Linked DNA regions of Schizosaccharomyces pombe. Changing the gene in region 2 together with the main gene of any one other region gives a genetic interaction. Each region holds a gene or a part of one and is shown on either strand. Other genes may lie near its edges.

The links.
Region 1: mutations in ftm6 (region 2) and gal1 together harm fitness more than expected from each alone (negative genetic interaction), as found in Schizosaccharomyces pombe (one large-scale study listed by BioGRID).

The regions. Positions count from the first base shown.
Region 1 is NC_003423.3:4,485,335-4,492,236, forward strand, and holds gal1 (galactokinase Gal1), read left to right. Parts: upstream 1-2,963; 5' UTR 2,964-3,156; coding exon 3,157-4,716; 3' UTR 4,717-4,937; downstream 4,938-6,902. Other genes in the region: UDP-glucose 4-epimerase/aldose 1-epimerase Gal10, read right to left, coding at 1-2,084. UniProt on the Schizosaccharomyces pombe protein: Galactokinase is a key enzyme in the galactose metabolism where it catalyzes the conversion of alpha-D-galactose to galactose 1-phosphate.
Region 2 is NC_003423.3:7,965-13,512, reverse strand, and holds ftm6 (transmembrane helix domain-containing protein), read right to left. Parts: upstream 2,945-5,548; coding exon 2,504-2,944; 3' UTR 2,162-2,503; downstream 1-2,161. Other genes in the region: SPOM_SPBC1348.04 (methyltransferase), read right to left, coding at 900-1,337; ftm5 (transmembrane helix domain-containing protein), read right to left, coding at 4,499-5,533.

The DNA of each region.
Region 1 (6,902 bases), 4.5 Mb from region 2:
AAATCTTGTGCGTAAAGGGAGAATTTCGACCTCGCACCATAAACTTCACCTTTGCGTAAGATTACCTGTTTTGACCATTTCTCATTATTCAAAGCGTTGATAAATCTACCTGTTTCCACACAAAATCCGCTGCGACTTTGAAACTCACAGATGTCATTTCCATCACCGGTGTAAAGTTGAAATGCAGGTTCTGTTGTAGACACCACGAGCTTCACCGGCACAGAGGGATGTATTACTTCAACAATATTTTTTAAAGAATACTTTCGTGTGTCCAAACAGAACTTGCTAGCTTCCCTGTCTACTATAAAGCAATTGTCAAACGAGATGTTTGGGTCAAGCTTGGTTGGTTTAGTTATGTCATTTTGCCATTCGACAATATCACCAGTCGGTAACGAGGTTTCCGAATTCACTTTTAAATAGACGTTAGTCGTGCTTTTAATTATTGTTCCGTCAATAGTTTTATTAGGAGAGGCTAAATTCCAGTAAGAATGATTTGTCAGATTTACGGCTGTTACATTGAGTTTCGAGTATTCTGGAATAACAGATTTGTATTCAATTTCCAAAGAGTTATTTTTGATTGTATATTTGACTAAGGTTTCCAGGTCAGAAGGAAAGCCGTTGTTACCATCTTTGTCAACTAAAATGAATTCCAGTGTATTGTAGTCCTCATACTGTCGAGCGATAGGCCCCAAGAAAAACTGCTTATCGAATCCATTATTTCCTCCATGTAAGGTGGTTTTATTGTTTTCGTTCTTACATAATGTGTACAAATGTCCATCCACTTCAAATTGTCCATTCGCTATTCGGTTGGCAAATCTGCCAATTGTCGCCCCAAAGAACGGATTCTCTTTAAGCTTATACCGTGAAAAATCATTAAATCCATTTACTAAATTCCTCCCTTTATATCTTACTGCTTGCACTAATGCTCCGTAATTGGCTATGGAAACCTCAAGATCTTGAAAGCAGATAGTATGGAGTCTATTCTTATAATCCATAATCCCAAGAGTGTTAAACAACTTCCATTTGTAGTTGTCAATTTGAAATCCAAAAGGATTTTCGATCGTCCATTTCCACAAGTCTCTACAAGCATCTGTAATACTCAATTCAGCCTTCCATTTTAATTCACTATTTGCTCGATTCGGGCTTGCTGTCAAGTTGAGAACATCACCTGTTCTTCTGCCCACCACTTCATACGGTAAATCTTTACCTACTTCCTTACAAAAGGCATGATAAATATCGAACACGGAGGAACCTTTTCCTGTTCCCAAGTTCCACTCTCTGTACATTCCTTCACTATTATTGATTTTGTTTAGGTAGTTTAAAGCGGCAATATGTCCCTTAGCTAAATCCACAACGTGTATGTAGTCTCGGATAGGAGTCCCATCATGGCTATCGTAATCATCACCAAATACTAACAACTTTTCTCGCCTACCGATGGCTACTTGGGCTAGAAACGGTAAAAGATTGTTGGGAATACCCAAAGGGTCTTCGCCAAGTAGGCCTGATGGGTGAGCTCCAATTGGGTTAAAATATCTAAGTATTGCGCCTCGCCAAGTATTGTCGCTAGTGTGCAAATCTTTAATGATATTTTCAATAGCGTACTTTGTTTTCCCGTATGGATTGGTTGGGTCATTAGGACACGACTCTGGGATTGGAATCATGTTGTCAAATCTAGTAGCATCGCCGTATACGGTGGCAGATGAGCTAAACACAACTGTCTTGACCCGGTGTTCACGCATTACATTTAGTAAAGTAATAGTACCGCAAATATTATTGTCGTAGTACTCCAGTGGTAATTTCATTGATTCCCCAACTGCTTTTAAAGCCGCAAAATGAATAACACCCTTGATTTTAAAGGTATCAAAAATTTGAGCCAAGCCTTCTTTATCGCGAAGGTCAAGCTTAAAAAATTTAATTGATTTTCTCACAATAAATTCGACTCTTGCTACAGCATCATAACACGAATTGCACAAATTATCTACAATTATTACTTTATATCCATGGTTGATTAGTTCAATGACTGTATGTGAACCAATGTAACCAGCGCCACCAGTTACAAGAATGTATTCGTCTTGAACCGCCATTTTATAAAGAACAAAAAGGAGCTTAAAAAAATACTCAAAAAATTTGTTTTCGAAATATGGGTTAAGGTTCTTTAGGGGCTTCTTATGTTAGCTTTAATATGCGATATGTGTGTGACTAGAGTATCTCCAAACGTAAGCATATATATACAATTTTAAAATGTAACGTGGCTTCTCCAGGCGTACAATCACATTACCCCAAGTTTCGTTAATTAAACTGTGACTTTCTGCATCGAATATTCTAGCCATATTCAAGCAACAAAAGCTCCCATCTTCTCCGCTTTATTATAAGCTATGATTACCGGATTTCGTAAAAAAGCGCATACCCAACAGTTCTCAACTTAGGTTGGTGCTCTATTGGTTCTTCTCAGTGGGGTACGGTTCGTTTAAATGATATTAAACTGCATGCTATTACATGGTTGAAACGTTAACTTACCCATCTTTTGCGGATTGAGAATTTGATGTGGGGGCACAGAAGAATAAAGACACAGATGTTCCATTAAAAGTATGAGAATTATTGTCATTCTTTTGGTGTATTTTGTAGTCGCAAGGTCTTTTATAAAAAATTACCAAGTATTTCGCAGAGAATTGTCCGGAGGTTGAAATAAGAAATTAAGAAACTTAATACAAACGGAATTCCAAAAATATTTTTGCAAAGCCTTTATTTATATTAAACAACTGATATTTTTTAATCAATGTCACAAAGTTATTTTTTATGAATACCGTTTTCCGAACCCTCCATGCAACACTTTTAACTTCACCGTATGTCTCAGGTAACGCAAAGTCTAAATGACATAAATCAGTAAACAAGAAGTAAATAAGGCAAAAAGGGTCAAACTTTTGACAATTTATATAATCGTAGTAGTATAACGTGGTTTGCTTGACTGATCAAACTAATTTTTAAGGCAAGAAGAAGTGTTTATCGATTTTCAGAGCAAATAAACAAAAAGATAAAAGCTGCATCTATATTTTTTCAAAAAGAAGTGAAAAAAGGAGAGAATACCTTTTCATTGATCATTTTCAAGTTTACTTTTTCTTTACCACATTTGTAATTTTTTCTGATTGGTCTCAAATTATGGCTACCGTTCCTACATATCACGACTTATCATTTTACTCCAACCCAAAAGAAAACAAAGCTAGGTATGCAAAGTTGCTAAACAGTTTTGAACAAAAATATCACTGCAAGCCAGATTTTTTTAGTCGCTCGCCTGGCAGAGTAAACATCATTGGCGAACATATTGACTACAACTACTTTTCAGTATTGCCAATGGCAATTGACGTTGATGTTATTGTTTCAGTTACCACAAGTGATGATGCCAAAGTTGAGTTGAATAACACGAATCCAGAATTCAAGGAGGAAATATTGGAATTACCGAGTGACGGGGCAGTGATTGAAATTAACAAAACCCACCACACCTGGGGAAACTACTTTCGATGCTCTATGATTGTTGCTCATAAATATATTTTAGAGAAATACCCAGAATTAGTCAGTGGGGGTAAGAAGCCTTTAAAAGGATTAAAGTTGATTTTTGATGGTAACGTTCCCACTGGTGGAGGACTATCATCTTCGGCGGCCTTCTGTGTGGCATCGATTTTAGCCATTTTGAAAGCCAATGGAATTAATACAATTACCAAAGAAGACCTCGTCAAGATTAGTGTTGTTTCCGAGCATTATGTAGGTGTCAACACGGGCGGTATGGATCAATGTGCTTCTATCTATGGAGAGCAAAACAAGGCGCTTTTGGTTCAATTTAAACCAAAGCTTATGGCAACACCGTTTAAGATGCCGGTACTCAAACCTCATGACATGGTATTTCTAATCTCTAACACACTTGTGGAAGCAAATAAGCAAGAAACCGCATTAACAAATTACAATCTACGAGTGGTGGAAATGGCAGTTGCTTCAGAATTTTTGGCAAAAAAATTTAACTTAGAATTGCCAAAGGAGTCAAATTTACACACTGGTACATTGAGAGGATTCATGGACGAATACTACGAGAAGCACCTAAAACAGCCGCATTGGGATGGAAGCGACATTGACATGGGCGTTCAACGCATGCAGGAAATGTTAAGGCTCACAGAAATAATGTTTTCTGAAGAGCAAAAAGTGGGTTTTAAGACTGAAGAGCTGGCTAAGGAATTAGGGTTGTCTGTGGAAGAGTTTACTAAAGTTTTTTTAACAAAAATTCCAGTAAAATATGAACGCATGAAAATCTATCAAAGGACCGTGCATGTGTACTCAGATGCGATGAGAGTACTGCAAGTGTTAAAATTGTTTCATCAGCATAAGGACAGCGATGATCCTCAAAAGTTTATGTTGGCATTTGGTAGACTATTAAATGACTCTCAACGATCGGAAGATATATATAATAATTCGTCGTCTCCCGAGTTAAGAGAGGTATGCAAAATATCGTTGGCTAACGGAGGTTATGGAGCCAGAACGACGGGTGCTGGATGGGGTGGATCTGCGGTACATCTCACTACACACGATAAACTAGCTAAACTGGTTGAAGCATTGACGGAACAATACTATAAAAAGCAGTTTCCTAAAATTACTCAAAGTGAATTAAATGCCGCTGTTGTCGTATCGAAACCGGCTGCTGGATCTTGTATAGTACAGTTAGCCGAATACTGATTAACAGACTTTTTTCAGTATAATTTAATCAAATCCCGAAATACTTATTGAATGCTAGTTTTAATTGAAAAAGCAAATAAATAAAGAATCACAGAAAGTTTTTTAAACAACGAAATATTAGAAATGTTTTTCTTTCGTTTCGCCAGTGATGTGAGTAGGAAGATCAACAAAAAATGGTTATAAATAAACGAGATTAGTGCAGTTGGTTAATTAAATTGAAACCTTCGCGATTGAATTGTACAAATTATATTAAATAGTTTAAAAGAAGACAGTGGTTCCCGCTGATAAACATCGATTCACTTTTTATTATTAGAATATCTTTCAACATAAATATATAGTTTGGGAAATCAACTTTTAAGAATCAGCAGGTGAACATTACAGAACAATGTGACTAGACTTTGTATGGAAAAGAATATTGTTGGCTTTTAGAACATTGGTTTTAGTATGAACTTTGGCTACACATTATTCTAAAATATATTTTAGAAGTGTTTGATTCCATATTCATTAGCAGGAGAAAACATGAAAATCCTATTGGAAATCAAATAGTATAATATATACGAATTTACTGAAGACTCTGCATAAAGTTTTGATTTGAGTTTGAAAGTTTATTATTTGTTTGATAATAATATTAAATTTAATGAGCTTATATCTGAAGCTACTCCAAAAGAAAAGAATCTTTATCATTTTATTAAGCCAATTATATGTTATGGTATTCTTTTTTTTGGGGGGAAGGGATTTATAAGCTTAATTCGTGATGCAAGTTTTTAAAAGAATTTTTTAGAAAATTATATGGCTAACAAAATTTGCGGAAAGATACTATACTTACCGGTATAGCTTCTTAAAAGAGATCATTTTCGTTTTTAGTCAATAAAAAGTTAAATATCAGTACCTGCCATAATTGTATATGGTAAAGCTATCAATTTTCATATGATGTTCAAGGAGCCTCAAAAAAGAATGAATAAAGTGATCAAAAGTTCTCTTTTTAATAGTAGACAATCTGATATAAATATCAAGCAAAATTAAATCACCTAATTTCGATTTAAGCAAATAGTCAAATATATAAATTTTCGTTAACTAAAGTTTTACATTAGCTTTAGGAAGGCTTATATGACTTCGTTCCGAAACCACTTTATACTCTCCATATTTTATTTACTTTTTCAGATAACTGGATATGAGAATACATACTTTTAATTTTCACTTTCGTTTTTTTAGAATGATAGAATTTATTACGTTCATTTTTTTGATACTATATATAAGGCAGATGAATAATATGTGCAGAAATTGTTTTTATTTGATCGCATAGGAACACGCAAAGCTTGCAATTCTAACTTACATGTCAATAAATCCTTAACATAAATAAGTGCAGTGATTTTAGAACAAATAATGCAAATTAAAATTCCCTTAATTTAAATACGAGGCAACCTGGAAGTACTTTAAAACTGTTTAAAAAGTTCCACATATTTTCAGTTTGGTAGCAATTTGTAAATATATCTTACTTTAGATTGCTTTTTTTTGGGAACTTGTAGCTCAATATGAACTTTTATAACATTCTATTGTAAAATGTGTTAATCGTGCTATACTTAACTTTTTTATCAACTTCCATCATAAATCTCATACCGGATACTTAACACTTGCTTAATTGTTAAAGACTTTTATTACAATCAAATATATTTGTTGTGTTTCTGTTAATTTTAAATTATAACAACGGTTTCACAAACATAAAAGCAATAAAATTGTAGCGCTTGCATATTTAATACTGAATAATTATAATGATGTGACAGTAAGTAATGATGAAGCGGCTCAGACATTTTGGGAATCACCTGTAATTAAGTACAGTAGTTAAAAGATGCGAATTCTTGTGTAAATTTTTTTTGTTTTCAATTATATTTCTTCAAATCACATGCATTCTACATCATCGTCAACCCATACTTACTTTTAGCTTAAAATTTATTTTTTTCATAAATAGCTATTGTCTATTCGATTGGGGTTAAGAAATCAAACATTAAAGCTTCGTTTGCATGTCAATTTATTAGACAAATTTACTTTTTCAGGTGAAGGAGATACCGACAAGTAGCGGTATAAATTGTTGAAAAGCTAAGTCTAATGTGTATGTCAATACGTAAACAGAGTTTTTGAAAGACTCTGAATAACTCGATTTTTTGCTGCCAGAATATAATTTGCAATTT
Region 2 (5,548 bases):
AATTACGTAGATTGATTAAGCAATACTAAAGGTCGTTTCCACTATAGTATTCCTATACAACAAAAAATCACCAAAAGTTATTTGAAAGTAGTAGGCTTGAGGTTCTAAATTAAAAGCAATTTTCTTTTTTGGTTACTTTTGTATGGTCCGGTTAAAATATAAAATTAATGCACAAAATACTTAACTTATGTATATAATCTCAGTTACGCGGAAAATACATGCAATAAGTTTTCCGCGGTGCACGCTTCACCGCGGAGCATTCTAAGTAAGCACGATAGCAAGTTATAAATTACAGGCATGGAAAGTATACTCAATTTATTTTAATAGACTTTTTTCCAAGTTCTTTTATACAATTCTGCTATTTTGTCCTATAGATCGCCTCAACGAACACTCACTACAGAAGAATTCTTTAGACTTGCACGATCCCATCCATCATGGATCCATCCTGCTGATTCAGCAAATGACCACCTCACACCTGCTTTCTTTGGCATTTATATTCGATCCATAACTTTCTAACCATTAATATAATGCTGAATTCATGAATGTTAACAATCGATTTCTAATAAGAATAGCCAATCTATCAAAGTTAAAAGCTCTGGTCAGTTTAATGGATTTTCGCTAGTGCATCATAGCCTTGATATTTCTAAGGTTTCCATTGGTTGTAAGTTTCTTTCAACTCTTCGTAAAGAACAGTTGTTAGCTAGCTAATTGAGTGTCTGAATTTTTTTTTGTTAATGGGTTCTTAAAATTGATGTATATGTCCATTCATCTTTATATATTTTATGTACATGAACTATTTACAACGCATTTTGGCAAACCATGTGTAAACATTTATTTTTCTAGTTAGGGGAAGATGAAGCAGGACTTTTCTTCTTTAATGTCTTCAATCTTCCAATAGTTTATAAAGAAAGCTTTTTGACATTGTTTCTTTTTAAAGCGAGGGAATACCTTTTATGGCCCTGCCACCGTCTATAACGTGATTTGTTTGTTTCGCTAAACGCTCTTAGGAAAACGGAGCTATCAGAGTGACATATATGACTTAACGAAGCTGTGTATGGCTCATGATCACTATTTAGAATTGAATGAAAACAACCAATGTCAATCACAGTGTCGAAATGCCCCTTGAATTCATTTAATCTTGAAAAATCGCGTTGATTAAAGTTGACATTACTTTTTTCACTAGATGTTTTATCGATTGCTTTAGAAATAGCCCTTTCGGAAATATCAATACCCACGACTTTATATCCAAGACTGGCTAAATATCTAGCATTTCTATTTGGTTCACAACCGGCATCTAATACATTCTCATGTAATTTCCCCAGTTGTACAAGATTCATGATCTATTCGTCTGGTTTCTCATTATCAAATGGTGTTGCGGGATCTTCATACATATTTTCCCAAACTATTTTTTACTTCAGAGATATATTTCTTCATTGTTCTTAATGATATATAAAAAATGGTGAAATATTTATTTATTGCCCCATCATGTTTATTTTTATATCCTTCTTTCTCTGTCAGGAAATCTATTTCCGAGCTGACGATAAAAAAACATGTTGCAAGTCGCCGAAACTACCTCGGCTTTTATTACTATGTCCGAAAAGTGCGCGAAATATTGGAATGGCTTGTAAATTATGCATTTAATCAAATAAAGTGATAGTAAGCGCAAAGTGTATGACTCAATGAAAATCGGGTGTATCAACTACTCAGTTGTTTACCATACAATGTATTGTAAATTATGGGTAGTGTCGTCGCTATTACATTTAAAAAATATATTATATTGAAGGTATCTAATAAGAAGTAAATGTTTTTCTGTGTAATAATAGTGAATTCTTCTCATCAAAAATATAAACGAACTGATTTTTCGTCACCTTATTAGGTTATACAAAGTCATAACAATGCAAAACCAAAGCGGATAGCATATCAAACTAAGAATATGACTTGCTATTAAAAATTAGTTTCGCTTGAGTTTTATTTTAAGAGTAGTAATAGTCAGAATTTATTGTGCTGATACACTTCAACTTACTTGATTAATAATTGAAAAAGAGAAATTTACAATTGAAATTGAAATGGATGGATTTGAAACAAACCATTCGTCAACATCACCGCTACTTTAAAAATGCTACTGTACTTGCGAGTATAACTACACAAAAGTACATATTTAAGCGGTTGCATCAAGTAATGTCATATATAGAAATACAATAATATAAACGGAGCACAAACTGAACCTCGTTCTTGATATATCAAGTCTTCTTTATTGTACCATAATGTTGTATGTCGTTGTGCTATATTTTTTTGTAAGTTACAATCATACTGATTGGCATAGCTTCTGCTTTTAACTTAACGGTGATCAAGCCATATTTGATCAGGTTAGGCAGAATTCCAATGATTGCATTAGAAGGTTTAGATCTTCAAGTCAATTTTACGATTACAAGCAAAGGAGAAATAGCAATCAAGCCAGTATCGAATACTCATTACACGTATATAGCAAGATACTATGGAATTGTTATTGTGATATGAATCTTGATGGTGGATTATTATAGCCCTGGTGCAGATCACTAATATCGGTTTTCGAGTAAGAATGATTCTTGCTTTCTGACCTAGTGACTTTCTCAATAGAGAAAAGTATAATGACTTGAAATTTAGAAAACGTTCTAATGGAGTTAATGGAGTGAGTTCTAATGAAACGAGGAAAAAATTTGTTATGATATACTACGACGCATCCAAATGTAAAGGATCGGAATTTAGATGAAGCCGATGGTACTTCCGAGTAAATGTACCAACAATATAATAAATAAATCAGCAATTTTACTGCTAGACAATATTTCACTGTGAGGCTTAGTCTTGGTATAAATAGAGGGACTCTGTCAAAACAAATATTTTGAACTAGACTCGAATTCTTCATAATTCTATTCACTTGAGTGTTTATTTTTTTTAACAATGCCATTACATTTACGAGATATGTGGATATCCACTGACGATTATAAGGATGTTTTACTTACGTGTCCTGTGTGGTATGAAATTAGTGAAAGAGAATTAAATCATGCTGTTTGGGGACAATATTAAAATGGTGAAGTTATAATGAAACAGTTGTTGGAAGCGATTAGTTTCAAAAATTAGCGACTCGTATTTTGTTTATTATTATTATTATTTTTTCTTTTTTTTTTATTCGCTGTTTTAAAATTGTTTCCAGCAATCTTCTTCCTGTTCTCTTTTTATCCGTTTGACAACACATTTTGCTAATGCTTTTTTTTTTTTTTTAGTTCAAAGAAGACTGGTACGAGAAATAAACAAGTTGAGTAGTTTCGAAAGCAATTGGCTCTTTCTTTTTTTTTTTAAACTTGTCTTATTAATGTTAACATAACATTTTGTTTTTAGTCCGAGTATGTCGTCAGTTGAAAACCGTAACGGTTCTCATTGTGCCTGTTCTTCCGGTTTATACGAATAAGGTAAGAACATTCAAGAAAGCGTTTGATATGAAGTCTGTTCCATTATTGCTCTTAGTGCCTGACAAACGTTGTTAGTCTGTTTTGAGTTTACAAGTTTGTTAAGCTAATAGCCATTCATTGATCTTCATTGTTACATGCTTTCCATGGAATAGTTGGAGGTGTTTACTTTTCAACTTGTTAGCGATCGCTTGCTAACATTTTTAATAATAGGTACTTTGTTGTTCTCAGTGTGACTGGCACGAACCAGCAAATGTTTACTCGATTGAACAAAGGCGTAGTCATGATGATGATCTTCCTACCATTAAGGGTTCTGATGCTAGTACTCAACAGTATGAAAGAAAAACTTATATTACCGATGCTAGTCCCGAATCTCAGAATCTGTTTTTAAGCAAAAGTAAAGAGGAGGGAGTTATCTTCTTATGCATACAAGTAAGCTTTTAACCTTGATTCTATTTATTCACTTTTACCATTTACTACTTTCGCAAATTCCTGTTTTTTGTTGGGGATATGAAGGGGAATATAAGGGTAAAGTAGATGAAATGGATGTATTTGAAAGTTGATTTGGATTCGATTTATTACTTTGAATCCCCGTTTATTATTATACGTTTATGTCGTTTTAAAGAAAACCATGCGATGTACTATATTAATTTTGTAAAATATATATTATAGATAAAAAAATTGTTGGGAAAATGGGAAAGCAAGTTGAAAATAATTAAATTCAATAAATTAGCAAAATATGTTTATGAAGGTAACCAGTTTTTTCTTTTTATTTTTTTTTTGTCTATATGTCAGATTCGCAACTTTTAAGTTTGAACAAAACATTATTTCACATCGACTCAAAGGTTATGTGTATTTAAAACGTTCCAGTAAAAAAATATTCATTTGTAAAAAATAAATAGGTGGTATATTAAATAAGAATGAACTTACTACACAATTTCTGTGTAAAAAAGTGAGATTAAAATAACTGGATATTAATCCATTGATAAACAAATAATAAATAAAATAATCCCGGTAACCCCTTTAAAGGTGAATCAAGTAAACCATGGTTTTTGTCAAATCATTTTCTCTTGAGCCTCTTCAGCTACATTTCGATTGTAGGCAAGTGCTTCATTATGGGTGGGAAACATTATGTAACATGGAAAAGCAATTTTCTCCATAAAAGTGAAAAGATCACCAATGATCACCGACAGTCTGTAATCAAAGTTTCCAAATATAATATTCGACAGGTAATGCAACATTGGAGATGCACAGAATATAAAGATAAATGCATTTAGCATTCTTCTAAAAAATCTGGCTTTTGAAGCATTTTCGTAAGTTGTTACAGACGTGCATTGTTTCAATAAATGACAAATAGAATACACCCAAATTGCAGGAGATACCTCATACTGGATCATGTCAAAAATCTCTGATACTACATATACGTCTTTATATAAAGAAATCCAGTATACAGAACATAAAGCAATGACAATACTAATTCCTTTTATCATAAGATATTTAGGAACAGTTCTAGTTATGCCGAAACCCAATGCACAGTAAATCACAAATAATCGATAAAAATTTGTCCGAAGAAAATCAATTATTTCATACACCGAATAAAATTGTCTGTATTTTATACATTCGGAAGAAAAAACATACTCCTCAATGCATTCTTGTAGAGTCTGATTTAACGCAAAAAGAAAAATATAAAGGCAGATTACCTTTTGAGCAGGAAATATAATCTTGCTGAAATGTAAACAAGTCCATATCCAATAGCTCAAAAATAATAGTACTCCTCCCATTTCAGCTACAGAAATATAGTTCCAAATGCCAATTTCGTCATTATTAATTTGATCTTCTGAAACCGAATACCCCATAAGGTCTAAATTAAATTCAGCTCCATCCATTGTCATTGGTCTCGCAGCTACGCAGTAAGAACCCGTTTCATTAATCAAAATAGTTTTCCATATACTTGTAATATTTTCGCCCGTCCATACCGATTCCGAGTTACCAGAATATGCAAATGATCCCATCTCTCGGTTTTGGGAATTAAATTCCTCAAAAAAAGATTTTTGGATCACCGTGTCTCTTGATTTTACAAAGTCAATCATCTCCTCAACTTGATC